Linked DNA regions of Cricetulus griseus. The main gene of each other region encodes a partner of the protein of the gene in region 3 in a complex. Links are inferred from orthologs where the notes say so. Each region holds a gene or a part of one and is shown on either strand. Other genes may lie near its edges. The genes, in order: Tada2a, Cxxc1 and Wdr5.

Region 1 (10,217 bases), on a different chromosome or scaffold from region 3:
TGCTTGTAAAATAAAATATCTACATTGCTTTGGAGGTTGTCCTAGAACTCACTCTATAGACAAGGCTGGCCTCGAACTCAGAGATCCACCTGCCTCTGCCTCCTGAGTGCTGGGATTAAAGGCGTGTACCACCAATGCCCAGCTTTTTATTTTTAAGGGACAGGCTCTACATTGTTGAGGGTGCCCCTGGACTCCTAGACCCAAGTCATTCCCAAGTCATCACCATAGAAACTCTCTTAACATTTTTGTCTTACATTTTAGTGTGTGTGTGTGTGTGTGTGTGTGTGTGTGTGTGTGTGTGTATGTATGTATGTATGTATGTACATGTGCAAGAGCATATGGAGGGCAGGAGACTTGAGAGTCAGTTCTCTTCTTCCACCATGTAACCAGGGATTGAACTCAAGTCCTCAGGCTTGAGCCATCTTGCTGACCCTTTCCTATTTTAACAGTTCACTGCATCAATTAGCTAACCTCATGGTTCTCTGCCACACCTTAGGAAAACATTTTGAAAATCTAAACAAAAAAAGGTAGGCTTTTGATGCTGTAATGACTAGGATGCACTAATAACATTTTGTAGACAGGAACTGGGATTCTAGGTCTTCTGAAGTACTCAGGATACTCCTTCCTACACAGCTGGGGGAGAGGGGGAAGCAAACCAACAAAAAGCCTTGACTGAAGTCCTTAGCAAGTTTCAATTATCTCATTAAAAATTCAACTAGAAAGCCCAGCAGCAGTGGTGCATGCCTTTAATCCCAGCACTAGGGAGGCAGAGGCAGACAGATCTGTGAGTTCCAGGCCAGCCTGGTCTACAAAGTGAGTTCCAGGACAGGACAGGCAAGGCTACACAGAGAAACCCTGTCCCAAAAACAAAAACAAATCAACTAGATAGAAAACTAAATCTCCCAATTACATGGCCTAGAACCCATTACTATTTCATATGTAAAAAAATATTTATGGTTTTGCTAGTGTTGGGAATCTGACCTGGGACGTTGTACATGCTAGTCAGACAGGCATGCAGCAGCAACCACTGGGCTATAGTCCTAGCCCCAACTAAGATATTTCTGACAGCTGGGTGGGTGGGTGGTGTGGGTGTGGGTGTAGGTGGTGGTGATCCACGCCTTTAATCCCAGCATTCAGGAGACAAGCAGGCAGATCTTTATGAGATCCACACCAGCTAGAGCTACTTAGTGAGACCCTGTCTCAAAGAAAAAATATTGACAGTTTAGACTGAATCCTCTAGTATGACAAGTATACACAAGTCAAGAGGAGGCTGTATTCTGTTTTGCTGAAACTTGACCATGGATTACTAAGACTTGCAGCATTTCTTAGTCACTAACAGCCTGAATCATCCTCAATTTCTCATGGTAAGATGCAGTGATTCAACCTCTGGGTCTCAGCAGTTGAATGCTTAAGTCATCATGTCTCTTTCTGCTTTTATGTCCTGCCCCCATCCTTCCAAACCCATTTTTTTTGAGACAAGGTTTTACTGTAACTCAGGCTGTCCCCTGAACTGGAGACAATCCTGCCCTCAGCACCCAAGTGCTGGGATTACAAACATGTGCCATCACACCTGGGTGTAATCATGCTAGTTTACTATAAATTATATTATTTCATTGCAGACTACTCCTTTTACTATGGAATCATTTTTATTCTTGAAAACATGTATCTACATATTCCATTTTCAATTAATAGACTTGAAAAATAACAAAAAATAACTGGGTTGGGCTGGAGAGATGGCTCAGAGTTTAAGAGCACTGACTGCTCGCTCTTCCAGAGGTCCTGAGTTCAATTCCCAGCAACCACATGGTGGCTCACAACCATCTATTATGAGATCTGGTGCCCTCTTCTGGTGTGCAGATATACACGGAAGCAGAATGTTGTATACATAATAAATAAAACATTTTTTAAAAAGTTTGTTTAAAAAAACTAATAACTGGGTCTAAAAGGTTGAGAACTAATCTTAACAGTGCCCAAATAATGGCCATATATGCACTTATGATATCATCATTTTACTTCTCAGTATGGCCATATATGCACTTATGATATCATCATTTTACTTCTCAGTATCTTTGATATGTACATTTTACATTTCTCCCTCTCCATGTATTTTCTTAAAACTAAAATTATTGAATGCACAAAGGACAGATCTAGGGTTTTGAAGGTTTATTTTATGATTATATTTATTTATCTACTTTGTGTATATTCCAGTGGGCAAGAAGGAATTATGTAACATGAGCATACCTGTGTTACATAACTCACAACCACCTGTAATTCCAGCTGCAGGGGCTGATATTTCTTCTAGACCTCCATGGGTATCTGCACTCATACGTATATTCCAACACACGTAATTAAAAACAATAAAATAAAAAAAAATTCTGAGGAAATAGTTTTAAAATGTGACTAAAGCAAAAAGAAAAAAAAAAACACTCTAAATGGGCTGGAGAGAAGGCTCAGTGGTTCAGAGCCTATCATGTTCTTCTGGAGGACTCAAGTTTGGTTCCCACCAAGCAACCAAACACACTGCACGGCTCACAACAGTTGCAACATCAGTGCCAGGGGATCCTGACACCTTCTGGCCTCCTCAGGCACCTGCACTCACATGTACATATTCCCACACAGATACACATGATTAAAAATTAAATAAATCTTTGGTGCTGGAGAAATGGTTCAGCAGTTAACAGCACTGACTGTTCTTGCAGAGGACCAGGGTTCAATTCCCAGCATCCATATGGCAACTCACAACCATCTGTAACTTCCTTTTTTAGCCTCTGAAGGCATCAGGCACACATGTGGTGCACAGACATACATGCAGGCAAAACATCCATACACATAAAATAAGAAAGAAAATTTATAAACAGGGCTAGAAATATGGCTCAGTGCTTAAGAGAGTTTATTGCTCTTGCAGAAGACTTAGGTTCTGTACCCAGTACCCATACATCTGTAACTCCAGTTCCAGGTGATCCCAAACCCTTTTCTGGTCTTCATGGGTCCTGTAAACACATAGTGCACATAAACTCACAGAAGTGAACACACACACACACACAAACAAACACATCTTTACAAAACAAAAACTATAAAGCTGAAAAAGCAAGTAAACTGGAAGAAAATATTTGCAAATCTAGAGAGAAAAAGTCTGAAATTGTTGTTTTTTTTTTAAATCTTCATTTTTATTTTATGTGTATGGGTGTTTTAGCTGCATGAATGTCTCTGCACCATGTACATGCAGTACCTGTGGAGACCAGAAGGTGTCAGCTCCTCTAGGACTGGAGTTGCAGACAGTTGTGAGCCCTCAGTTGTTGCTGGTGGTCAAACTTAGGACCTCTGGAAGACCAGCCAATAACCTTAACCACTGAACCATCACTCAAGCACCTGAAATTCTTTTCATTTTGTTTTTTGAGGCAGGGTTTCCCTGTGTGTAGCCTTGGAGCTTGCTCTGTGTCATCACAACATGCCTTAACAATTCTGTTTTAAAAGATGGGAGTAAACTGGGTAGTGGTGGCACATGCCTTTAATCCCAGCACTCAGGAGGCAGAGGTAGATGGATCTCTGAGTTTGAGGCCAGCCTGTTCTACAAGAGCTAGTTCCAGGACAGCCTCCAAAGCCACAGAGAAACCATGTCTTGAAGCAAAACAAAACAAAACAAAACAAGATGGGAGTAAACTTGGTAGTGGTACTTTAATCCCAGCCTTTGAGAGACAGAGGCAGGAGGACCTCTCTTGAGTTCCAGGATAGCCAACACTGTTACACAGAGAAACCCTGTCTCAAAAAACCAAAACCAAACCAAACGGTATGGATAGTTTCAGTTTATACTTGGAGCACTGTTGAACTGAAAATGTAGAAGTAGATATGTCCAAAGATTCTTCTTTTCTAAATAAATGTAGAGAAAATGCAGAAGGCCTTTAAGAAAATGCAAAGAAACAAAACCTGAAAAATACATTTCTGGTTCTTACTGGGTTACTAATGATCTACTTTGTGACTGCACTTGTGTGTGTGTCCGTGTATGCACAAGTGTGTGTAACCTAATTTTGTGATTTCTATTTCTTCAAAATCTAATGGTGGCACATGTCTGAATTCTCAGCACTTGGGAAAATAAGTAGGTCAAGGTCTTCCTTAGCTATGAAGCCAGTTCCAGGCCAGCCCAGCTACATGAGGCCCTGGGCTCAAAAATAAAAGTGTTTTAAATACAGATCAATCACACGGTGGCTGGTTCACTCAGCCTGGTTTTATTCTAAGACTTGAGGTGATAGATACATTTGTGTTATCTTCAGTAGGCAACCAAAAGGTACTGGCTGATTTTACTTTTACATGACATTAATTCTTTCAGGCATTATCAATCAACTTCAAAGGCGTTGCTTCCATGATCAACTTCTACTTTAGTTTGCTATTCATCTTCACTTGAGACTTGCTCCATGGTACTTACTGCTAAAGGAACCCAAACGGTCCATTCTCTAACTGACAGTGAGGGCTGTTATTCCTGATCTTCCTTGATAGGGAGCTTCTTCAAGACTTCAGAAGTGGCCAAAAATTAACGATCCCCTAAGAACAAACAGAAGAGCCACATGGATCAGAAAACCATTCAAAGTAGGACAGTGGTGGTCCTTTAATCCAAGCACTCGGGAAGCAGAGGCAGGTGGATATCTGTGAGTTCCAGGCCAACCTGGTCTACAGAGCTAGTTCCAGGACAGCTAGGGCTATTACACAAAGAAACCCTGTGTCGAAAAACCAAAGGAAAGAAAAGCATTCAAAGGTCTATTACAAGTAGCACCTTCAACCCTGTCATGCCAGGAGTTTATGATGCTGGGGGACCTGCTCTTCCTCTACATACCTGACTGTCCTTTGTATAAAAGGGGTCTGATGCAACAAGCTCAACCTCAAAGTTGTGAGCATTAAATGTATACTCAGCTATCTATATAGCGTAGCCTTGCTTTTGAAGCAGACTCACTATGGTAGTCCAGGCTGGCATCCAACTAGGGAGCCTGCCTTAGCTCCCCAGGTCAGGGGTCAAAGGTATGTTCCACCACAACCAGCAAATGCTGTGAATTTCTTCTTCTTCTTTTTTTTTTTGCTTTGGAGCCTATGGTGGCACTCGCTCTGGAGACCAGGCTGGCCTCACAGAGATCCACCTGCCTCTGCCTCCCAAGTGCTGGGATTAAAGGCGTGGGCCACCAACGCTCGGCTTATGAATTTCTAATAAACAATTCTTTGCTTTCTCTGCCAAGTATCCATTCCCTTAGGCTGGATTTACTTTGGTGAACTGACGGCAAATGGTGGGGTAGCCAAATCACAACACTCAGACCTCCATGTTCACAGAATTTAAAGTACATCCTTCTTACAAACTCTGCAACTTGCTGGTGTGGTGGTATATAAAAATCCCAGTAGGCAGAAGGCAACAGGTCTCTGTGAGTTCAAGACCAGCCTAGTCTACATAGTGGGATTCTGGGATGGCCATCATTACATAGTGAGACCCTGTCTCAAAAAATAAATTTTAACCTGAGTTTTATTACTGGAGACCATGAAATTCTACCCAAATCAGGTAATGGTGGTGCATTCACTTAATCCCGGGACTTGGGAGGCAGAGGCAGGCAGATCTCTTGAGTTCCAGTCCAGCCTGGTCTACAAAGAGAGATCCAGGACAGCCAGGGATGTTACACAGAGAAACCCTGTCTCGAAAAAAACCAACAAGAAACAACAAATTTGAGGCAGGTTTCCTCTGTGTAGCTCTGGCTGTCCTGTCTAGACGAGGCTGGCCATGAACTCAAAGGTCCGATTGCCTCTTCCTCCCGAGTACTGGGATTAAAGGCGTGCTCCACAACCACCCAGAAAAAAAAATGAATTTAACAAAGGAATAGTATACATCCAGGAATAAAACAGCAAGCCAACATCCATATGGCTGGAAATAAATGGTATCACTGTATGTGGAATAAATCTTGGAATCCTAACAATCTCCTGGAACAGGCCATTTTTTCCAAGGAAAGGAAGCGCTTTCTGGGGCATTGGCACCACGTTTACAGGCTGGTGAACAGCGGGGCCCTATCAATAGAAGCTTACACTGTAAAGGATGCTAGAATACTCTCTGGCAAACACTCCACGTCACAAAGCACAATGCTGCGGAAAGCAAAAATCTTTCTTCTCCTTTCTTAAAAAGCCCACGCAGTGATACTAACATCCTTGAGAATCGGGCTACATTCAGATTAATTACTAGAGGAAGGAAGGAAGGGACCGAGGGGCAGGCTCCCGGAGTTGCGGGCTTGGCGGTTGTGCAGACAGCATCCTTACAGCCGTATGGCCTTGGGCAAGTCATTGTACTAGCGCCTCGGCTCGCAGACGCTGCTCAACACTGGCTCGCCGAGACCCACGTGGGGTTCGGCGGATCAGGTGGGCCGGGGCCGCGCTCCACCGCGCAGCCGGGGACACTGAGGTGCCGCACCGCCAGCCGCTCAGGAGCGGGAGGGGGGAGGGGCTGGGGACCGGCGGGCCGCACCCGCCTCGCCCGCCGCGTGGCCCCGCCGCGGCAGCCCGCACCTCGTGACCCCGCGTGCCCTCGCTCCGCCGCCCGGCCCGCTCCTCACCTCGCCAGGTCTAGCGCCTCGGCGCCCAAGAGCCTCCCGCTGCGCGCGCCGTCCAAGTTCTCCACGTGCGCGCCCCGGCCTGCGTGCGCGGCCCCGAATCACGTGCGCGGCCCCGGACCACGCCGTTGCGAGCACGCCGCGTCTGTCCCGCCTCCACCCCGGCCACGGGCGGGCGGGTCCCGGTGGCGCTGCCCCGGGATGGGGCGAATGATGCTTTCCCGCTCGCCAGCAGGCCCTGGAGTCTGATCTGCTGTCACTTTTCCTGTCGCCACAGGAGTCCCGGTGCGGTGCTCTAAGGTGGTCCCGCCTGGTTCAATCTGGATTTTCTCATAACAATCCCACTCCAGTCCTGTTGCAAGCGAGGAAACTCAGGCTGCCCAGGCGCTGGGCCTGACGAACGCAAGCCACTCATGGATTACTCAAACTGAATGCCTTGAGGGGTGAAGAGGGTACTTTTCATTCTGATGCTTCTGGGACGTCGAAATTGCCTTCTCTGGAAAGACCCAGCCCCTCCCTGAGCTTCAGATGCTCACATGGAAGTGCAGTGATGATGTGGTGGTCCACTCTGATGTCAATCTTGAGGGCTAGGTATGTCCCAACATCTCTTATTACGACTAGTAGAGATTGTTATAAGAGCTTCCATTTGTGGAATCCTTCCTTTCTGTATGCCAGGCATTGTACAAAACATTACACCAACAACTTTCTGAGGGATGCACTGTTCCTGTTCCCATGGTCCAGCTGAGGAAATCTAGGCACTGGAATATATAACTTAGGATCACATTGCTACCAAGTGCTGGGGAAGGGATTCCAACCATGGTTGGTCTGAACTATTATGCTGTATATCTATTTAAAACTCTGTCTTACAGATTTACCCAACTTCTGTTAGAATTCAGTTATACACTGCCTGTGTGGCATCTTTATTCTTTTTTTTTTTTTTTTGGTACAAAAGTAATATAAGTCCATTGTTAAACAAAAATCTCAGCTGGGTGTAGTTAGTAGCATACATCTGTGATCACTACACTCAGGAGACTGCAGGACAATTACCATATGTTTGAGTTCAGTCTAGGCTACAGAGTGAAAGATCTGTCTTAAAAAAAAGAAAAGATTAAAATTCACATGTGAAAATCACCCCACCATGCTAAATAAACAGTTAATGTTTTTATGTATTTCCTTCCATGCACTTTCCTATTTATTGTATCAATATTATATGGCACTTTACATTTTCTGAGTCCTCAGATCTATTCATTCATTTGGCAAATACACAATGAACAGTTCACTGTTCTAGGTGCTGAGAATTTGGTAGTGAGCAAAACATATTCTCTTGCTCATAAGGCTCATGAATTACATATGATAAAAGATGAATATATTATATATAAATAGTAAGTATTAAAAGATGCCTCATAATGTGGTTTTATAGAAAATTAATTGGAATCAAGAGATAACAGTGATACAGAGATTTTCTTTTAGTCTGGATGGGGAAGAAAGGCCTCTTAGCAGACACAGCACACAAGCAGAAATCTGATATTTAATGAGAAATGGAAGCTAAGTAGATTTCTATAAAGAACCATAGATGAGAGAGAGCAAGTACAGTGTCCCTGGTACATGGAAAAGAAGCAGGGAGGCCAGAATGGCTGGAACAGAGCTGATTAAAGAAATATAACCAGGACCCAGATCATGTATATTTGGTAAACTTTAGTTGGATTGCAATGGGATGGGTTAGAATTCCATAAAGGGTTGAGATCAATATTCTGTTATTTTTTGTTATTTGGTTTTGGTTTTGGTTTTTCAAGACAGGCACTGTCTTGAAAACATAATCTCTGTATCTTTGGAGCCTGTCCTGGAACTTGCTGGCAGGCCAGGCTAGCTGGCCTGGAACTCACAGAGATCCACCTGTCTCTGCCTCCCGAGTGCTGGAATTAAAGGTGTGCACCCCTATTGCCTGACAAGATCAATGTTCTCAAGAAAAGCATAGTGGCTCATGCCTGTACTCCCAGCACACAGGAGGCCAACCTGGACAACACATAAAATTCCAGTCCAATCTGGTGTGTAAGATCCTGACTCAAAAAAAAAAAAAATGGATAATTAAATTGGCCAGGGGGGGATGAAAATTAAATTATAAACTAAAATGTATCCAAGAGGATACAACAAAATATAATGTCATATATGTGTGAAAATGACATAATGAAACCAATTATGAATAGGCTAGCTTAGAAATTATTGCAGTAAGAATTAAAATGTTCAGGGGCTGGTGGGATGACTCAGTCTGTGAAGTCTTTGAATTTGAACTTCAGTACCCATATAAACCCCTAGATGAGGTGATGTGTGCCTGTAGCCCCAGCACCTACCTGGAAAGGAGACAGGAGGATCCCCTAGGGGCATGTCGGTTAGACAGTCTGACTAAATCAAGGAACTTCAGGTTCATTGAGTGATACTCTCGAAAAATAGAATGAAGAGGCTGAGGAGATGGCCGAGTCAATGAAGTACCTGCAGCACAAACTTAGGAAGCTGAGTTCAGATTGCCAGCACCAGTTCTCCATCCACTAGTAACCCCAGCACTGGGTAGAGTTGAGACAGGCACACTCCTGGAGCTCATTGGCCAGCCAGCCTAGCCTAATAGATGAGTTTCAAAAAATAAGAAAGACACCCAACATCAACTTCTGGTCTTCATATATAGAGGCACATATGGGCAGATAAAACACACACACACACACACACACACACACACACACACACACACTCTCTCTCTCTCTCTCTCTCTCTCTCTCTCTCTCTCTCCAAAATATAAAAAATAAAATGTCCAGTGAAAGGAAGGGTAACACTGATGGAAGCAGCACTTTCCTTGGTTTCTTCCTCAAACAGTGTAGTATTAGTGGCATTGCAAGACCATCAGAAGAAGGGAGAGTCTAATTGAAGGAAGACGGACTTGGAGGAGAAAGTAAGTTTTGTTTGGCATCTATGTTTTGCATACTAACTAGAAATGACAATAGGAGTCTACGCTTAGTGGAGAGTTCAGTACTCATTGTGTAACGAATAGAATTGTTTCTTTGTTTGTGCTTTCCTCAGCTTGAGAACAGACTGTCTTTTCTCTTTGTAACCTCTGCGCCCAGAAAGGTAGGGCCAGCAGATAATTGGTGAAATGAATAGAGACAAAGGTATGGCCAGATATAGTGGCATACACCTTGAATCCGGGCACTCAGGAGTCAAGTGATAGGAGGGTTGCTGCAAGTTGAGGCCAGATTGGTCAATATCTCATCGTCTAAGCCAGTCAAGGGTTACATAAGGAGTTCCTGTCTCAAAACAAAAACAAAAAACAAGGCAAAAGGTACAGATAGTTACTCAGATAAAATGTGTGAGATTTAAAAAGAAGACCTGGGATTGGAGAGATGGCTTAGTGACTAAGAGGACTGTGTGTTTTTACAGAGGACCTAGGGCTCACACGGTAGCTCACAACCACCTGTATCTCCAGTTTTTAGGGATCCAATACCTTTGACCTCCATGGGCACGGAGCATGCAAGGGATACACATACATGCAGGCAGAACACTTACACACATAAAATAAATCTAAAAAATGTTTCAAAAATAAAATAAAAAAGCTGGGCGTTGGTGGCGCACATCTTTAATCCCAGCACTCAGGAGGCAGAGGCAGGC
Region 2 (9,599 bases), on a different chromosome or scaffold from region 3:
CCCCTGGAGCTGGAGTTACAGAGTGTTGTGAGATACCTTAGGGGGTGCTGAGAACTGAATTTATGTCCTTGGCAAGAGTGCTGTTGTCCACTGAGCTATCTCTAGAGCTCCTTACTTGTAACCCCCATCCTGGTGTGTGTGTGTGTGTGTGTGTAGTGAGAAAAAAAAAACAGCTCTGGCAGTCAGTATGAGTTTTAGAAATCAAACTCAGGTTGACAGGCTGAGCCATTTCACTGGCTCTAATAATTCTTTTAATTATTTGTTGCTTTACTAGGGCACTTTTTGCAATACTAGGACAATACTGTACACTTTTACTTGAGGATTACTAATATATTACTATACCTGGCAACCAGTTTTCACTTCTAGAGCTATATAATTAAAATTTTAATAGTACTGGCTTCTTAAGGAGTATACACCTATTTCTTTTCCTTACTTTTCTGTTTTCTTTCATTGTTTCTTCTCCATTTCCCTTCCTTCCATGTCTTTCTTTCTTTCTCTCTCTTTTTTTCCTTTGGTTTTTCGAGACAGGGTTTCTCTGTAGTTTTGGAGCCTGTCCTGGAACTCACTCTGTAGACCAGGCTGGCCTTGAACGGAGATCCACCTGCTTCTGCCTCCCAAGTGCTGGGATAAAGGCGTGCGCCACCAACGCCCGGCTGCATGTCTTTCTTATTTTCTTCTTGAGACAAAGTCTCAAAATTACCCAAGTTGGCCTTGAACTCACATTGTAGTCCAGGTAGGATGTGAATTTGCATTTCCTAACCTCATCCATCCTCCCACTTCTGCTGGGATTACCAGCGTGTGCCACTACGAAGTTTTAAAACATATATATATATATATATATATATATATATATATATATATATATATATGCACTATTTTAATTCTAGCACTTGAAAGGCAAAGGCAGATGGTTAGCTTGAGTTCAAGGCGAGCCTGGTCTACACAGCGAGTTAAGGACCGTCAGGGCTAGAGGGACCCTGTCTCAAAAATAAAATAAAATAAAATAAAATAAAACAAACAAAAGGAAAATGAAGCCAGATCTGGCTGAAAAACAGGAGGGACGAGGCGCGTAAAAAGTGGGTAAACAACTGGGCAGTTACAACACGATATTTATTTCTTTTGCGGAGCCTTGGCATCCCATTTATAAACGTGGAAGGGTAAAATGACTGGATGGAGGAATGAATGAGACATGATTTAGGCAGTAACAGGATTATCCTGCCCGTGGCAGCAGCACTCAGTGTACAGTCAACTATGGTGATGGCCACGCCCTTTGACAGCCGTGAACCGGAAGCTGCCATTCGTTGCCTAGAAACGTACGGAGTCTGCCCCATGAGGCGTAAACAGCTGATGACGTCTGCGTCGCAGTTGCGAAGCAAGCGCGGCCATATTGCCCTCTGGCGGCCACCGTACGGACTTTGACTGATAAGGTGGCGGCGCGCTCCGAGGACCTGCAGATAGGCGCGGCCATATCTCCCGGAACGTACGGTGTTCGCTACCTTACGGATTCCATGGTTAAGATGGCGGCGCCTGGGCGACATTCGCGGCTGTAGTTGGGCGACCTATTTGTCTGCTGCTGAGCGGTCGTTCTGGGCGAGAAGACTCAGAGTGCGGTGCCGTGGAGGCGGGACCAGGAGCGGAAGTGGTTGTGGGCGCTTTTGCCACCGCCGCGGACGCTGCCTAGGGGCTCGTTCAGGTTCGCTGGGTGCTGCCGGGGGTCCAGAGCGGGTGCGCTGTGAGAGGAGATATGGTGAGTATCCGGTTGGATCGCGGTTCCGAGGCAGAGGTCGGTGGGGTTGGCAACTGCTGCCTGTTGGCAAGGCGCACGGGGCTTCTGGTGAGGTGGATGCCGAGTCTGGGGGCCGATGGGAAAAGGTGTGTGATGGGGTTTGAAGTGAACCATCTGTGAGTTCTTTGATGAACCGTTGTAGGGGGTCCATAGTGGGACTTAAGTAGAGACTGCAGGTGGCAGTTTTGTGGGAAGCCTTCACGTGAGGATCCTTGGTCAGAGAGATAAGGTCTTGGCCATGAGTATTTACAGGGGCTCTGAAAAACCGTCATTGGGGTTGGGGGTCTGTGAGCTAAGTTATAGAGACTTGTGGGAAGCCGGGATGGGACGACAGCCCAACAAATTAAGAGATATCCGGGTAGAACTCTTGAAGGCGGCAATGTGGTAAGTGTTTGTGATGAGCAGTTAAGAGTGACAGGATGCTTGTCAGTGATGTGTGTGATGGGAGAGCAGTATAAGCAAAGTAATGAGGCCCAGGGTTGAGTGATGAGGGTCTGGGCGATCTGTGAGGGAGAGGCTGATGGGAATCTATGAGAGGGAGGAAGTCCAAAGACACAGTAGGAACTTGTGTTGAGCCGTGGTCGAGCTGTAAGCGGGAATTAAGGAGTCATCATTGGGGGTGGGTCTCACAGGATGGAGACGGTTCAGACTTGGAGCCTCCAGATGCTGGAGAGGACAGCAAGTCTGAGAATGGGGAGAATGCTCCCATCTACTGCATCTGCCGAAAACCAGACATCAACTGCTTCATGATGTGAGCTGGGGAGAGGTGGGTGGGCTGATGCCTGGCGGGGTTGGGGAGCACCGATGAAGCCCACCCCTCACGTCTCTACCACTTGCTCCATTATATGCAGTGGATGTGACAACTGCAATGAGTGGTTCCATGGGGACTGCATCAGGATCACTGAGAAGATGGCCAAAGCCATCCGGGAATGGTACTGTCGGGATTGCCGAGGTGAGGCCCAGTGGGGAAGGCAGGTGGGCTCCAAGAGATGAAGAGGAACCGTAATGGGAGGGCTCATGGGTAATCGAGGTGTCCTCTGTGGACAGAGTGATTGTCGGTCCTTGGGGTATTGGAATACCAACTCCATTGTGAGCAATAATGGAGGATCCTAAAGGGAGAGGGCAGCTCTCGCCTATAACATGAGCCAGAGAAGTAGTTGGGGTGGGAACAGAGAAAGAGGTTTTGGGATCATTCATATCCCCCCCCCACCCGCCACACACACACACACACACACACACACACAAACCCACTTTGGTCTTACTCTTTGCCTCATAGAGAAGGACCCGAAGCTGGAGATTCGTTACCGACACAAAAAATCCCGGGAACGGGATGGCAGTGAGCGGGACGGCAGTGAGCCCCGGGATGAGGGAGGAGGGCGCAAGAGGCCTGCTTCAGATCCAGACCTGCAGCGCCGGGCAGGGTCAGGGACAGGGGTTGGGACCATGCTTGCTCGGGGCTCAGCTTCGCCCCACAAATCTTCTCCACAGCCCTTAGTGGCTACACCTAGCCAGGTGAGTGACTGCGGTGGTTGGGGTGGGTAAAATTCTGCTCTGGGCCCCATTTGGGTTCCTGATGTCTATCCTGCGCATTGACTCCTAGCATCACCAGCAGCAGCAGCAACAGCAACAAATCAAACGGTCAGCCCGAATGTGTGGTGAGTGTGAGGCATGCCGGCGCACTGAGGACTGTGGCCACTGTGATTTCTGCCGTGACATGAAGAAGTTCGGGGGGCCCAACAAGATCCGGCAGAAGTGCCGGCTTCGCCAGTGTCAGCTGCGGGCACGGGTAAGCATGGACAGAGCTGGGTAGGTTCAGGTGGGAGAGCATGGCTGGGAGGCCCAAGTAGGGCTGCTTGAGCTACAAATGAGAAAGTGTGGGTGGGGTGGGGTGGGGCCTCATTATGTCCAGATGAGTGGGAGGGGGCCTAGCATGTTCAGGTGAATGCCACATGACATAACTAGCTGGCAGGGGCATATATTTTTAGGTGGTCAGGCATGCCAGGGCACAACAGGTAGGACTGAGCGTATGTCTGAGGTGAGGGGAGGGCTAAAACATTTTGTGTAGACCAGGCAAGGATGAGTAGTTGGGGATAGGACAGGGTGACCCATCATTTTCCTGGGGCTGACCTAGGCCTTCCTCCTGCGCACAGGAATCGTACAAGTACTTCCCTTCCTCGGTGAGTCCAGCCCCCCAGGGCGGGGCAGGGCATGCGGGCAGGGCGGTCAGGGCCAGTCCTGAGATTCTGCCCCGCAGCTCTCGCCGGTGACGCCCTCAGAGGCCCTGCCAAGGCCCCGCCGGCCACCACCCACTCAACAGCAGCCACAGCCATCCCAGAAGCTGGGGCGTATCCGTGAAGATGAGGGGACAGTGTTGTCATCTGTGGGTAAGGAGCTGCCAGAGGCTACAGCAACACCCGAGCCACTCTCAGATGAGGACCTGGCATTGGACCCTGACCTGTACCAGGACTTCTGTGCCGGAGCCTTTGATGATCACGGCCTAGTGAGTAGCAGGAGCATCCTGTGGTGGGGGAGGAACAGGAGATGATGAAGTCACAGCATGGGAAAGAGGAGGCAGAGGGCACCCAAGGCTGCTTTGGGAAACGGTAGGTGGTGTGGTCATGAGCTGGTCAGGTGGGTCAGTGCATGCCCTTCTTGCAGCCCTGGATGAGTGACGCAGAAGAGTCCCCATTCCTGGATCCCGCAATGAGGAAACGGGCCGTAAAAGTGAAGCACGTGAAGCGTCGAGAGAAGAAGTCTGAGAAGAAGGTGATGGAGAGGGGAAAATGGGTGGAAAAGGAAGAGGATGGGGCAGGGAGGGAGATGGAGAAGTCAGGGGCTGAATAGGGGAAGAACCAAAAAGCTGGAGTGGAAAGGCAGATCAGGCCCAAGGCTGACCTCTCTTGCACCTTGACATGACCTGTCTTGCCCCTTAGAAGGAGGAGAGATATAAACGGCATCGACAGAAGCAGAAGCATAAAGACAAATGGAAACACCCAGAGAGGGCTGATGCCAAGGACCCTGCATCACTACCGCAGTGCCTGGGGCCTGGCTGTGTGCATGCTGCCCAGCCTGGTTCTAAGTATTGTTCAGATGACTGTGGCATGAAGCTGGCAGCCAAGTGAGTTTTCCTGGGGCACTGAAGGTAGTCAGGAAGTAGAGCAGGCATGACCAGAGCTTTCCCTCCAGCTAGTTGTCTATGTACTGTTCAATCAAACCCCCATCTGGCCACATGAACCCACCATTCAGTTACCGCCTGCCCCCCCCCCCCCCACACACACACTCAGCCACCCATCCTCGAACCTGTTCATCGTCTATCCATTCACTGTCCCTTGATCACCCCACTTACTGCTTTTGGTGCTTCTCTGCCCACACCTCACTGTCTCCCGGCAGCCGAATCTATGAGATTCTCCCGCAGCGCATCCAGCAGTGGCAGCAAAGCCCCTGCATTGCTGAAGAACATGGCAAGAAGCTCCTGGAACGCATCCGCCGTGAACAGCAGAGTGCCCGAACCCGTCTTCAAGAAATGGAACGCAGATTCCATGAACTTGAGGCCATCATTCTTCGTGCTAAGCAGCAGGCTGTGCGTGAGGATGAGGAGGTAAAAAGAGTTGTATAGCCATCGCTGGGCAGGACCCAGTACCTTGTCCTGCCTGGTTTCATCGTTCTTTCCCCCATACAGAACAATGAGAATGACAGTGACGACACAGATCTACAGATCTTCTGTGTCTCCTGTGGACATCCCATCAACCCACGTGTTGCCTTGCGTCACATGGAGCGTTGCTATGCCAAGGTCAGGGGCCAGTGTGAGAGAGTGGATGGTGTAGGGATATCAGTGGCCTGCAAGGCCCACAGATTTGTTGAATGGGTGGTATCTTGAGAGGGCACCCAAAGTCCTTTTATTTGTGTTCATCCTTCCAGTATGAGAGCCAGACATCCTTTGGGTCCATGTACCCCACACGCATTGAAGGGTGAGTAATGGTGCCCTAGAGTGTTAAGAGAAGGGTGGTTAAGGCTGGGGATTGGGAATGGGATTATGTGTGGAATTGGTGCTAGAGATGAGTGTGGGCCTTTGAAGTGGTCAAGGAGCTACTCAAGGCTGCTCTCCTGTTAATCTCTGACAGGGCTACCCGACTCTTCTGTGACGTCTACAATCCCCAGAGCAAAACATACTGTAAGCGGCTCCAGGTGCTATGTCCTGAGCACTCACGGGACCCCAAAGTAAGGTTTTCCTTCAGTTACCTGCATCCTTCCCTGCCTCGTGTCCCTCCTTTCCTTCTCTTTTTTTCCTGTCAACTTCCATTTCCTCCCTTTCCTGTTGATCATCTCCAGTTCCTCTCCTTTTGCTTCCTTTTCACTCTCCTTCAGATTCTCCATTCCTCCTCTCACCTCATCACCTCTGCCCTTGGTGTCCTTGCAGGTGCCCGCTGATGAGGTCTGTGGGTGTCCACTTGTACGTGATGTCTTTGAACTCACAGGTGATTTTTGCCGTCTGCCTAAGCGCCAGTGCAATCGCCATTATTGCTGGGAGAAGCTTCGGCGTGCAGAAGTGGACTTAGAGCGTGTCCGGGTGGTAGGTTTTAATATTGGGTGTGACCTCAGTCAGCCTGAGCTCCGGGGGCTGGTTCTTATGCTTCCTTCCACTTCCTTGGCAGTGGTATAAGCTGGACGAGCTGTTTGAGCAGGAACGTAATGTTCGCACAGCCATGACCAACCGAGCAGGATTACTTGCCCTGATGCTGCACCAAACGATCCAACATGACCCACTCACTACCGACCTTCGATCTAGTGCTGACCGCTGAGCTTCACCAGCCCAGAGCCCCTCACCCCTGCATTCCAGTTAGGGGAGTGGCCCTGCATCACCGGCTTTCTGTTCCTCCATTCATCTGTTTATTCCACTGCTCCTTAGTTTTATCCCTGTGTCCATCTATGTTCTGGCTTACATTTGCCCTTATTAATGGGACTCTGATTTCCCTTTTTCACTATCTGTCCTTTTCCATATTCAGTGCTGGGGTGAGACTGTGGCGTTTACTCACCTTTGCCTATACCCATCCCCTAAATAAACGGGTTTTGTTATTAAAAATTTTGAACAACCAACAGGAGATCTCTTGATAGTCTCCATTCTTCTATTTTCAGTTGTGGTCCCAGGCAAGGTAGAGGTGGCATATCTGTCTTGGGAGGGACTGTGGTAAATGTGCAGGCTGGGATAGCCAGCGGACTCATCTTGTGCTCCCTTAGGCTGTGACAGTGTGACCTATTTGAGGAAATTTCAGTGATCTGTATGAAGCCCCATCCACAGTTATATTATACCAGGGACAGGCCAGGTGTCAGAAGTTTCAATAGTTTCTGTTAAAAGATTTCAAATGCAGCTGGGCATTGGTGGCGCACACCTTTAATCCCAGCACTTGGGAGGCAGAGGCAGGCGGATCTCTGTGAGTTTGAGACCAGCCTGGTCTACAAGAGATAGTTCCAGGACAGCCTCCAAAGCCACAGAGAAACCCTGTCTGGAAAAAAAAAAAAAAAAAAGGTTTCAAATGCTCTAGTGGATTAAAATAATGGACTTCCTAAAACTACAAGTATGGCTAGACTAGAATGTTCTAAGCATTGTGTAGTTAGCCAGGATGAAGGGTGGTTGCGTGAAGCACACAAAATGGTGTCAGCTAAAGCAAAAAGGGATTCCCTTGGTTAGTTTATTCTCTGCTGGTCTTAGCAGAGTCAAAGCATTGACTCATTATCTTCCGGTGGCATGTCCGAAGAGAACGGAGTGATTTCCTGTTTGTCCCGGCTTATATTATGATTCTGCCCAGCTATGTCACTTCCTGCCTGGCCAATCAGCCACCAGTGTTTTATTCATTAACCAATAAGAGAAACGTATATAGAGAAGGATTTCCCTCATCAGATGTTTAGATTTTTTTTGACCACTTTGTAGGGTGTATTTTTTTAAGGAATGATGCATATAAATAGCTAGCTTTTCCTAAGGATACACAAAGATCTCTCCAACACATGAACAATAAATCTCTCCCTCTCCAACTCAGTAAAACTAACTCAGCCAAAGATTTCAACCTGATTGAGAAGCATTTCAATGGAAGTCTGTAGTTGTCCTATATCCCCTATCCTATATCGTGGATTTATGGGTCATCTAGGATATTCCAATTTCACCTCTTACCAAGGTAATCATTAGGGCTGCTTTTTCAGCTGGTCTAAGTCTTACTCGGATAAAGATCAACAGGAAGCCAGGAGAAAATGTGCTGAGCATTCTTGGGGCCATTGTAAGCATATAACTTGAGAAACAATGGATGGTAACACACAAGGTAAAGCTCCTGTAGTCTGTCAGGCAAACACAAAAGGTAGGACTCTTGTAGTCTGTCAGAGGCCATCCATTTTTGTAAATACAGGTTAACCAGGTTCCCTGCAGTGCCAAGTAGGCTTTTGATACTGCAGGGTTCTGAGAAGGGAGATTTTTGGAAACTATAGTTAGATGTTGCCAAGCATGAAAGATTATCTATTATATCTCCTAAGGTTAACTTCAGGGTAGTGATAGGACAGGTAGACTTGTATTTGTAACAATTGATATCTTTGTGCCTAGATCCACATGTGAGGTGATGCAGTAAATAACATCCCTCAATGACCTCTGTATCAGTTCCTGCCTCCAAGTTCCTGCCCTGCATGAGTCTGTGTTCTGACTTCCTTCAATATGAACAGGAAGTATAAGCCAAATAAGCTCTTTCCTCCCCAACTTGCTTTTTGGGCATAATGTTCTGTAACAGCAACAGAAACCCTAACTAAGACAACAACATACTTGTCGTACCTAGATGGATGCTACAACCAATGCAGCAAATGCTAATAAAACTTGGAGACCCCTGGAAGAGAAGAGCAATGACCTTAATAACTAATCTGTTTTTCTTTATTAACCTAAATAGTTTTCAAAGACTGAAACTTTACATTACATTTTTAAGTGAGCTGCATAGGTACAATATCTTAAGAAATAGGAACATATAATACAGTATAACAAAAGTAACAATAAATTTGTATCAACATACAAAAATCCATACCAGTGTAAGATATTTGAGACCAGTGGTTGTTCAAAAGTAGACTAAACAATCTACCCTTTTATTACATCATTTCTATATCATATCTCCCTTTTTTCCTTCAGAAAGAAATCCCTGAAACTAATTTCCTTTGTTCAGTATTTTACTGACCACGACTAATAACAATTTGGAACCCCCCCCCAAAAAAATGACAAACATCCATAACCCACTGAATGACCCAAAACCACCTACTCCAACTCTTGGAAATGTGGGTATCATGTTTTCTAGATGGCTTCCCATTATCTGGGGGGTGATGGCATCTTTAGGGTACCTGAGAAAATTGGGATAATGGTCAAGTTCTGGGAGAGCTAGCTGTATATCATTTGTTGCCCAGTCTCTTATGTAATGGGAAAATGCAGGGTTCATCTGAAGTCCTGGCTAGAATATAGTCTGTGAGAGTGGACCATCTCTGCCAACATCCTTGAAACTGTTTTGGATGCAGAACTCTGAGGAAACTGCAACAGAGGCACTCTGAGAGGCTGGACCACCTGAGCCACACACTTTCATTGGTGTCTGGTCCCCTTACTCTGAAAACATAAAACTTTTAAAGTTAACATTCATATCTGTAATAACACAAGTATGGACTTTGCATTGAACACAAGCCAGCCAAAGGTGATTTTTTTGTTGTTGTTTTATGTTTGAGCATATAAAATATATATCACCTGTCTTATAGTTATTAAGATTTATTTCTTTATATCTGTATCCAGCATTTTCAGGGGGTCTCCACT
Region 3 (10,146 bases):
CGGGCGCTGGAGAGATGGTTCAGAGGTTAGGAGCACTTGCTGCTCTTCCAGAGGTCTTGAGTTCAATTCTCAGCAACCACATGGTGGCTCACAACCATCTATAATGAGATCTGGTGCCCTCTTCTGGCCTGCAGGGAGACATGCAGACAGAACACGGTATACATAATAAATAAAAATAAAAAAGAATTATTAAAAAAAAAAAAGACTGGCTTCAAACTCACAGAGATCCACCTGCCTCTGCCTCCCAAGTGGTGGGATTAAAGGTGTGAGCCACCACTGCCTTGATGTAAGCATATTTAAATTCAGCACAATTTGAGAAAAAAAGTTTTCAGGCAACCATCACTCCAATTCCAGGTGCACAATAGAGTTTAAGTCATGGCTACATAGAAACTCCTTTGCAAAGTACATGTGACCTTTAAGGTAAGTTGTGCTAGCTTAAAGGCCCAGGATCTGGTGTGGTCTCTGACTGAGATAGAGGTCAGCAGGCTATAAAGTACATGTGGCATCTCACCTAAGGGTGGCTTCTGGTAACTAAGTGCTAAAAATAAACATCTAGGAAGGGAGAGTCTGTGGTAAACATTTGGGGATTTGGGTCTGGCACTATAGATAGCAAAGGTCACCAGGTCATTAACAGCATCCACTCCCAGCTTTCTGGGTGGAAAGTAGGAATTTTATTTCTTCCATGGAGGAGACCCCCCTGAATGTTCAACATTCTTAGTTTCCTTAGTGCTTATCTGTGACTACAAGAACCTACCTGTGCCTTCTGTACCCACTCACTCACCTCTACATATTCCCCATAGATTCATTTGTCTATTTACTTACCAAATACCCACTCATCTATCTTCTCTTCTATCTAGGCTCCCATTCATCCACTGATCCATCCATCTAGACACATACTTGCCCTTCTATTTAGGTGTCTACCATACACCCATCCACATAATCATCTGTCTAGATATTCATCCATTCATGCACTCACCCATCCATCTAAATAGGAGGGGGGATACAATTATTCAGTGTTTACTAGATGTCACCCCTCCATCTCCTTTCCCTTGCCAACTGCAAAGACTGTTGTGTGAGAATTCTGATCCACCTCAGACAGGCCCAGGGGACACTGAGCCAGGGACTGCAATAAAAGGTCTTATTTCAGAAGGAACTAGCAGCTGTGCTGTCGTATTCATTTATCTGGGGATCCAGATGGCAAATCCAAATGGATGTTGGCTGTTGGAAGTTTGCTTGGCTGTTATGAGAGCTTTAAGTGAGAGGGGAGAGGAACTTTCTAGATATGTTGTATTTATAAGAATTGCTAGGGGACTAAGATGGATCAGCAGTAAGGAACACTTGGTGCTCTTGTAGAAGAACTGGTTCTATCCCCAGCACCCACATTTCAGGTTAGAAACAACATGCAACTCCAATTCCAGGGGATGTATCTTCTGGCCTCTGTTGCGCTCTTGTAGACATGTGGTGCATATAAACTCATGCGGGTACATACACCAGCACATAAAAATAATAAATAAAGCCAGGTAATGATGGCACACATCTTTAATCCCAGCACTGGGGAGGCAGAGGCGGGTGGATCTCTGGGAGTTCAAGACCAGTCTGGTCTACAAGAGCTAGTTCCAGGACAGCCTCCAAAGCTACACAGAGAAGCCCTGTCTTGTAGAAAACAAAACAAAAAAGTGTACTAATGTAATGCTGCTTGTTTAACCAACTATGTTTGAGATGACCTAACTGTCCCTAAAATTCCCCTAACTGTGCTTAAAGGAAGCCTGCACACGCTTCTTGGGGTCATTGCTATTTTTGTGCAGGTGAACAGCCTTACATATGCTGGTATAGTAATAAATGCTCTTTGCTCTTACCTACTATTTGAGTCTGGGGTCTTCCTTCAGTGTTTCCTCTGACCCCAACAACAGCTCTACCCTGCTGTGTTACTTGGTTTCAGGGTTTGTGCTATGACAACAATGGTGAAGTTTCCCACTTAAACCAGAAGGCTGTTTCCCTTGAGAAGAAGACATTCAAATCCACTGAGCGAAAGTTGGAAATCTGAGGGCTCTGGGTCATCGTTCGGGCCTCCCAGGCTGGTCTTGATTGAATATGTAGCTAAAGATGATCTTTCAAAGTTCTGATCCTCTGCCTCTAACTCCTAGTGCTTGTGCAACCACACTTGGTTTATGGGTGTTGGGGATTGAACACATGGCTTCTTGCATGCACTCTACCAACTGAGCTACATCCCCAGACAGACCTGCATTTTAGCAGTTCCTCTGGCTGGAATCTGGAAAAGGCTGCATATTAGGTAGAGCCAGGATGAGGATGGAAGTGGAAGGATTTGAGTGTTATCTGAGCAGAAGGAAGTTCAGAATTAGGTTTGGTTTCCAGTCCAGGCAGCTAGGCAGATATGGGAGATACTGTTCTTCCCACCTTACACTCTGCTCCATTCAGGGCTCCGAACATAGGGATCAGGTTTGTTAGGCACACAGTATCACATCGGCTGTTTCTGTGTCCTCTTTGGAAGGGGATTCTGGGCCAGTTGCCAGTCTTCTCTCACTCCTATAGCTATGGGAACCACACACATTCTCAGCTCCAAAGGCTCACTTCCTTTGCACAGGTTCCTATGCTATATTTGATACTCCCACACTGGGAGATAAGAGGCCGCCACCATCTCCAAGATTCTAAGACCATGTGTGTTAGATAGTAAGATGAAGATGCAGCCTGTCTTCAGGTTGTCATTATGTCCTTGTGTCCTCTCTGGGTCTTTCCTCCATTAGTGACAGGAGTAGAGGTGGCCTACAGGAGAGGGGGCTGTGAATACTTTGCTTAATTCGGGCATCCTGCCTGTCTGGAGCTGTCTTGTGAAAATGAGAATTACGGTGAAAACAGAGACTTTAAAATGAGCCTCTGAGCCATACAGGAGCTGGATTGTAGTGGATACTGCGGTTGCCTGGAATGTGATCTCTGGGCACCCAAACTAAGGAGCAACTGAATGATGCAGTGGTTCCAGATGCATGCATAGCGAGAGGACCTAGAGCCCCTGTGTTAGGGACACTTGCCTTTCATCTTTCTTTTTTCCTTCCTTCCTTCCTTTTTTTTTTTTTTTTTTTTTTTTTTTCTTTCGAGACAGGGTTTGTGTGTAGCTTTGAAGCCTGTCCTGGAATTAGCTCTTGTAGACCAGGCTGCTCTCACAGAGATCCCAGATGCCTCTGCCTCCGAGTGCTGGCATTAAGGGCGTGCGCCACCACCGCCCGGCCTTGCGGCGATAGTTTCTAAGACCTTTTTCTGAGTATGGGGCTGCGTAGCACAGCCTCCTTGTCGCCTAGCTCAGAGGCGAGGCAAATGTGTCCAACTTGAGCTGTGGCTTGTAGCGGCAGGAAGCCCCCGCCCTGCGGTAGGCTGGGGAGGCCGCAGGAGCTCCGGACTTCCGGACCTCGTGGACCTCCACCAGTGGCACCGAGAGGGTTCCCAAGACCCCAGCGCAGTCACAGGCCAGGACGGCCAAGCTGTAATTATCAGCTTGGCGACACAGCATGGAACAACAGGAGAATCACAAAAGCACATTCCGTCCCATCCTTCACTGCAGACACCACGGGTCTGCAACCAATGGATCCCAGCTGTCAAGCAGGAAGCGAGAGCCGCCGGCGGCCCCTTTAAGGCACTCCTCCTCCTCTAATTTTTCTGACCCTCGTCGCCGCCCGTTGCCCCGCCCCCCGCGCACGCGCACTCCCGCCCGCGTACCGCGCCGCTGCCGCCTAGTTCAGGAGCTCGTCTGCTCTCGCGCGCAGAGCTAGCCGACGCGACGCCAGAGCGCCCGGCCCCGCCGCCGCGGCCCCGGCAGGTAAGAGAGTGAGCCGGCCCTTTGGGCGCGAGGCGGGCGGCGGCCACGAGGGATAGCGGGCTCCGGGATCCACAGCGCCGCACGTGTTCCATGGGCCTCAGGCCGGGCCCGGCGCCGCCTCTGGGGCCGCGCCCCGACCCCACCGCCCCTTGTGGTCGTCATGGCCCACTCCTCCCACGACAACCCCCACTGCGCCACTAGACCCTTAGTCGTGCGAGCTCCTCGAAGCACACCTCAGGCTGGTGTCCTTGGGGGTGGGATTCACGGTCTTTCACCCAGCCAGTATCTCCCAGGTTTCCTTGGCCACTTGGCGCCTCTCTTATGTTGCCAGTTGCCAGCACAACCTTCACCTGAGTTCCAGTGCAAATTTCTACCTGACGAGGCCTAACTCTAGTCAAGGGGGTTGTAAACACTGTCTGGGTCAGCACACAGTGGTGTGAAGCCAGGGCTACTAGGACCAAGGTACTAGAACCCAGAGAGAATGGGTTGTAGCTCTTTGTTGGGTTGGCCAGCTGCAATCACCTGAGTGAAACATTCTGTCTCTTCTACACTTGTGCACTCAGTGCCATCCAGGAATCTGCATTCGATTGGAGAGAGAGTAGTGACTGCTGCCCTTCCATGGCCAGGCTCACTGTAGTATAAAGCCCAAGCCACCTTCCGAGTATTCTGTTTAGCATACCTTCCTCTCAGAGCTGTCCTCCCCAATCCTGCTTTTCCGTAGGCTTAAAACTTGCACACCTAGATGCTCTGTCTAGGACTCTGCCCAGTGAAATTGGAAATCGGTGATTTCTTTTGAGACAGACTTATGTAGTTGCTGGCATCTCTTTTTAACTGCTTTGAACTCCTGAGCCTCCAGCCTCCGGAATGTTGTGAGGAAGACTGGCTAAAGTTGGTGGGATTTTTTTTTTTTTTCTTTCCTCAAGACAGGGTTTCTCTGTGTAGCCCTGGCTGTTCTGGACCTTGTTCTGTACATCAGGCTGATCTTGAACTCAGAGACTCCCAAATGTGGCCTAAAGCGTGGTGCTTTCATATGTTAATATTTGACATCTTGAAGAAAGACCCTGTCTGTCCACAGGGTATTGCGGGGTGGGGAGGGTGGTGGTGCACACTTGTTTGCAAAGTCATCCACCCACTGCTAGGTGAATCTCCTTATCTAAAAGAAGCTGTTTAGTTCCCAGAACCTTCCCACCCAAGAGACCTCCCCTACACTGTTGCCCTGTCCTTTTACTGGGGAGATTTGCTGGGCTTTGTGAAAGGGACTTTCAGCATCCTCAGCTCCTCCTGCTACCTGTATGGTCAGCAGAAGTGGTAGCTGTGAGAATCCATGATATGGCCAAATTTTCATTGAGAATAAGCTCCTGGCGTTGGTAGCACATGCCTTTAATCCCAGTACTCAGGAGACAGAGGCAGGCGGAACTCTGAGTTTGATACCAGTCTGGTCTACAAGAGCTAATTCCAGGACAGGCTTCAAAGCTACACAGAGAAACCCTGTCTCGGGGAAAAAAAAAAAAAAAGAATAAGCTCCTGGTCAGGCCTGGTGATTGATATATGCCTGTTACATCAACTGTACCCAGAAGCTGAAACAGGAGGCTTTTGAATACCAGGTACATAGCTAGACCCTGCTTCCAAAAAGCTAAAAACACCAAACAGCTGACATTTCCTGGGCACCAGAGCTTTGTTCCCTGGAGAACCTAGGGGATCTATCCTCCTCCAGTCCTTGCACCTGGGCTTGAGCTACAGCAAGCTATGACCGTGATGGAACGGGCTGCAGGTAAAACAGCTGGGCTGCACCTGTGCCCTTTGTGGTGGGCATTGTAACTGTTACTCCTCTAGGACTGAAGACTTTGAGACATGTTTTGTGTGTGTCCTTCATTTGCCTTAGTCTTTACATGGGGTCTGTGTGAGGTTTCAGGTTTAACCTCAAAGCTAGAATTTACATCATCATTCTTATATTGATGGCCGAGAAATCCATGACCAGTGACTGACATTTGCAAGTATGCCTTAGTAGTTCTCCTTTGAGGACTACTACTTCATTTCCAAGTCACATGGTGCGCTTTTGTGTGGTGCATCCAGGTGATGGACCTATTGCTGCAATGGAATTAACTGTTGCAGGTGTACACATTTCAGGCTGAGTGCTGACCAGAATAACTACTTTCCTCTGCACAGTAGCATGTATCTAGTTTGCAGTTCACTGCTGTTCTCGCTGCTCCTCCTGAGGAAACCTGTGGAGGCAGCGACCACTCTGGTTTACTCTTGTAGCTCTTTTGTAGTACTGTGGGCACTGAGTCCTTGAGCTCTGTGAGCTTATTCTAGAAGGCAGCTTTGTACCTGCAGCCTGTGAGATCATAGGGAGCAGCTGGTGAGGTGGTGGCCACTGGGTTCATAATGCCTGTGTTTTCATGATCAAATTCCTTGGGTGCATTTTAGGGTAAGCTCCCAAACTTCTGCACAGAAGGTCTACCTCCTGTCACTTGGCCTGTCAGTTTCTGTCAGAAAGCCTTTTTTTTTTTTTTTTCTTTCTTTGGTTTTTCGAGACAGGGTTTCTCTGTGGTTTTGGAGGCTATCCTGGAACTCTCTCTGGAGACCAGGCTGGTCTTGAACTCACAGAGATCCGCCTGCCTCTGCCTCCCGAGTGCTGGGATTAAAGGCGTGCGCCACCAATGCCCGGCCAGAAAGCCTTTTTAATTAAAAACTGTGCCCAAGGCTCTTTGAAGCAAAGCTCACATGCCTGTACACATCTAGTACTGCAATGGGAAGCTGCCTTGAGGGTCAAGTTTTTCTTAAGCTCACAAAGAGGTCAAGAGCGGGTCATCACACAGAACATTCGAAGCTTCAGCCCTGGGACAGGGTGACAGTTAAAGGATGCCTAGCTTGGAACAGTTTATTAGCTGCAGGGTTCAATATAGTGGTCATGTTTTTCCCTTTTTCCTGAGAATGATTGCTTTTATACTTGGCAGGGTGGGTGGGTGGGTAGATGGTGGTCTTATGCATGTTAGGTGAATGCTCTCTGGTTGAGTTATTATACTTATCCCCAACAACCTTTTGTTGTTTTGAGACAGGGTTTCTCTGTGTAGCCCTGTTTGTCTTAGAACTCTGTAGACCATCTCAAACTCGGAGATCCACTTACTTCTGCCTCCCAAATGCTGAAATAGACGTGTGCCACTATACCTGGCCAAATTTATCTTATGTGTGTTTTTGTTTTGTCTTGCTTGCTTGTATGTCTGCGTACCACATGTATGTAGTCCCTACAGAGGCCAGAAGAGGGCGTCAGATCCTCTGAACTGGACTTAAAGATGTTTTACAAGTGGAAATCAAAGTCGGGTCCTCTGGAACAGCATTCAGTCCCCTCCCAGTAACCTTTTTTAAAGAGAGGATTTGTTTATAGGCCCTATACTGTAGCGTACGCTTTAGCTGACAGCCTCTTCCACTGTGACTCCCCCTTCACGGTGTCCTGCCCGGTGGGCATCAGAGCCATGGCCACGGAGGAGAAGAAGCCAGAGACAGAGGCTGCAAGAGCACAGCCTACCCCTTCCTCATCAGCCACACAGAGCAAGGTATGTCCCACAGGGACCGCTGTGGCAGACAGGCTGGAGAGATTCTTGGGGATGTTATTTTATTAGTGCAGGCTGCTCTGCCCAGTGAGGTATGCTGGCAGTGTGAGTTTCTGGCCACCTGGCAGTGGTCACACAGAGCCAAATGCTAGGTGCTGTCAGAGATTCCCAGACCTAAGACAGTGGGGGTGGAGTTTAACAAAAAGTACAGATTGTTTTGAGGTAGAGTCTTCCTATAGTCCTGGCTGGTAAAGAACACAACATGCAGATCAGGCTAGTCTTGAACTCATATAGATATGTCTGCCTCTGCCTCCTCCCTCTCCCCTTCATGTGCTGGGATTAATTTAAAGATATGTACCACTCTAGTTGGCTAAAAAAAATTACAAATTGTTGGTGTGCTGAGGTAGGGACTCCAGAGGAAGAAGGGGCTTTGAAGAGAGTGATAGGGTTACACTGACAGTTTGAAGTGTGACGTCAGATAAGGTGGTAGTAAGTGCTTGTGTATGAGTTTTGGAACCAGCTAATAATTAAAATTTGGGCATCAAGTGAGTTGATTGGGTAGTGGTAGTAGCCTCTGGCTAATTGGTACTGTCTCCCACAGCCTACACCTGTTAAGCCAAACTATGCTCTGAAGTTCACCCTGGCTGGCCACACGAAAGCTGTGTCCTCCGTGAAGTTCAGCCCCAATGGGGAGTGGCTGGCAAGTTCATGTGAGTATCCTTCAGTTCTTTGGCTAGAAAGCCTGAGCTTCAGCTGAGGAAAGGTGGTTGGTGGTGTGGGCATTGACTGCTACTTCTTACTGCTCCCATAGGTTTGTTAGCATTCAGCATGCAATTGCCTGTTTGTATGAAGTGGTGGGTGGGCGTGGGGTGGAGTGGCTACCTGTGTCTACATTTACTTCACTGAGTGACCTAGGCCCTGTTATTTAGGGGAATAGCTACAACCTCTTCTAACTCCAACTCCTTTTCTTTCAGCTGCTGATAAACTCATTAAAATATGGGGAGCATATGATGGAAAGTTTGAGAAAACCATATCTGGTCACAAGCTGGTAGGTTTCCTGTGAGGTGCACTGGCTGTTGAGCCAGATGGTTGGTTGCCCTGTCTGTCCTGGAGCTTACTCTGTAGACTAGGCTGACCTTGAACTTGGAGATCTGTCTGTCTTGGCCTCCTGGGTGCTTGAATTACAGGTCTGTACCACCACCTCCTGGCTTGTCAGGCCTGTCTTTAATGCTGGTGGTCGCAGGGTCTTACTATATAGTTCAGGCTGGCAATCATCCTGCCTCAGAATCAGGTTTGCACCACCACACGTGGCTGCCTTATGTTTTTGGTGCAAGGATTTTAAGCCTCCATAGGTGACTGAGTCTAGGAAACCTAGCGGAGCTGAGGGTAGTAGCCTTTTGCTCTGGGCCAGATGTCTTGTGCTAACACTGGCCAGAAGATTTCCTGAAGTCGTGGTGCATAGATAGGTAGTGCTGGTCTTTTACTGGTCTTTTGGGTTTTGATCCCCAAAGTGGTAACCAGCTGTTTTTTCTTTCCCAAGGGAATATCTGATGTAGCCTGGTCATCAGATTCCAACCTCCTTGTGTCTGCCTCTGATGACAAAACTTTGAAGATATGGGACGTGAGTTCTGTAAGTGACAATGATCTTCCCAGGGAGTACCTGTAGTTGAGATGAGTTGGATGTGTGGATGGCTGGTCTTGGGGAGGTCTTCACATGTGCTGGGTAGTCCAGGGTTTTTATCTGGGGAATATAGCCCCTGAGAATCACAGAGCTTGGTGTGCTATGCCCTAGGGAAAGTGTCTGAAGACCCTGAAGGGCCACAGTAACTATGTCTTCTGCTGCAACTTCAACCCCCAGTCCAACCTCATCGTCTCAGGGTCTGTAAGTGAGTGGGTCGCTCCTCCGGGGACGATGTGTGTGGTGTCACATATTGGTGTTTGATGTGGGGTTAGGCAGGGTGGGGACAGGGCTTGGGTCTTAAGGGACCACACTGTTGCCGCTCCTCTGTTCCTGTAGTTACTTTAACGACCTGTCTCATCTTTAGTTTGATGAAAGTGTGAGGATATGGGACGTGAAGACAGGGAAGTGCCTCAAGACTTTGCCTGCCCATTCGGACCCAGTCTCCGCTGTAAGTCCTGATATGTATGTACTCAGCAGTTCCTCTACATGGGTTAACTTACTTGCTCAGGTGCAGCATCCACATGACCAGAATATCTCTTGGTTCTGTGTGCTATTGTGGGTAGGTGGGATACAGCAGGGAGCACCATGGGGAACTTTTTGTGGGCTGGGAGGTAGATAACAGGGGATTTTCAAGGGGGTGTGTTCCGGAATGGGCTTTCACAGGATATGGGGTGGTCAGGTCTAAAGGAGTGTGTTGGACAACAGAGAGCCATGCAATGGGCATTAAACACAGGTAAAGAGAATTTTGAGTAGAGTAGCTTCAATTAGTGGGTATAGTGGCATCTTAGGGTTTCTTTTTTTTTTTTTTCTTTTAAGGATTTTATTTATTTATTATGTATACAACATTCTGCCTCCATGTATGTCTGCACGCCCGAAGAGGGCACCAGGTCTCATTGCGGATGGTTGTGAGCCACCATGTGGTTGCTGGGGAATTGAACTCAGGACCTCTGGAAGAGTAGCCAGTGCTCTTAACCTCTGAGCCATCTCTCCAGCCCCATCCTAGGGTTTCTATTGCTATGATAAAACAGTGACCAAAAGCAACCTGGGAGTGTCTGAGCTTAGGTTACTATTACTATAATGAAACACCA

What was found.
Region 1: Wdr5 (region 3) and Tada2a share a complex: the UniProt entries of both Homo sapiens proteins name them as parts of the ADA2A-containing complex. The link is inferred for Cricetulus griseus from reciprocal best matches to the Homo sapiens genes WDR5 and TADA2A.
Region 2: Wdr5 (region 3) and Cxxc1 share a complex: the UniProt entries of both Homo sapiens proteins name them as parts of the SET1 complex. The link is inferred for Cricetulus griseus from reciprocal best matches to the Homo sapiens genes WDR5 and CXXC1.

The regions. Positions count from the first base shown.
Region 1 is NC_048600.1:97,381,643-97,391,859, forward strand, and holds the start of Tada2a (transcriptional adapter 2-alpha), read right to left. Parts: upstream 6,715-10,217; 5' UTR 6,570-6,714; intron 4,537-6,569; 5' UTR 4,446-4,536; coding exon 4,421-4,445; intron 1-4,420. UniProt on the Homo sapiens protein: Component of the ATAC complex, a complex with histone acetyltransferase activity on histones H3 and H4. Required for the function of some acidic activation domains, which activate transcription from a distant site. Binds double-stranded DNA.
Region 2 is NC_048595.1:165,568,030-165,577,628, reverse strand, and holds Cxxc1 (CXXC-type zinc finger protein 1), read left to right. Parts: upstream 1-1,403; 5' UTR 1,404-1,744; coding exon 1,745-1,747; intron 1,748-2,418; coding exon 2,419-2,537; intron 2,538-2,637; coding exon 2,638-2,738; intron 2,739-3,062; coding exon 3,063-3,298; intron 3,299-3,386; coding exon 3,387-3,572; intron 3,573-3,936; coding exon 3,937-3,963; intron 3,964-4,040; coding exon 4,041-4,286; intron 4,287-4,444; coding exon 4,445-4,552; intron 4,553-4,719; coding exon 4,720-4,904; intron 4,905-5,176; coding exon 5,177-5,384; intron 5,385-5,465; coding exon 5,466-5,576; intron 5,577-5,704; coding exon 5,705-5,754; intron 5,755-5,907; coding exon 5,908-6,004; intron 6,005-6,203; coding exon 6,204-6,356; intron 6,357-6,438; coding exon 6,439-6,585; 3' UTR 6,586-6,885; downstream 6,886-9,599. UniProt on the Homo sapiens protein: Transcriptional activator that exhibits a unique DNA binding specificity for CpG unmethylated motifs with a preference for CpGG.
Region 3 is NC_048599.1:139,188,298-139,198,443, forward strand, and holds the start of Wdr5 (WD repeat-containing protein 5), read left to right. Parts: upstream 1-3,675; 5' UTR 3,676-3,826; intron 3,827-7,211; 5' UTR 7,212-7,299; coding exon 7,300-7,380; intron 7,381-7,978; coding exon 7,979-8,087; intron 8,088-8,351; coding exon 8,352-8,425; intron 8,426-8,917; coding exon 8,918-9,007; intron 9,008-9,169; coding exon 9,170-9,259; intron 9,260-9,422; coding exon 9,423-9,506; intron 9,507-10,146.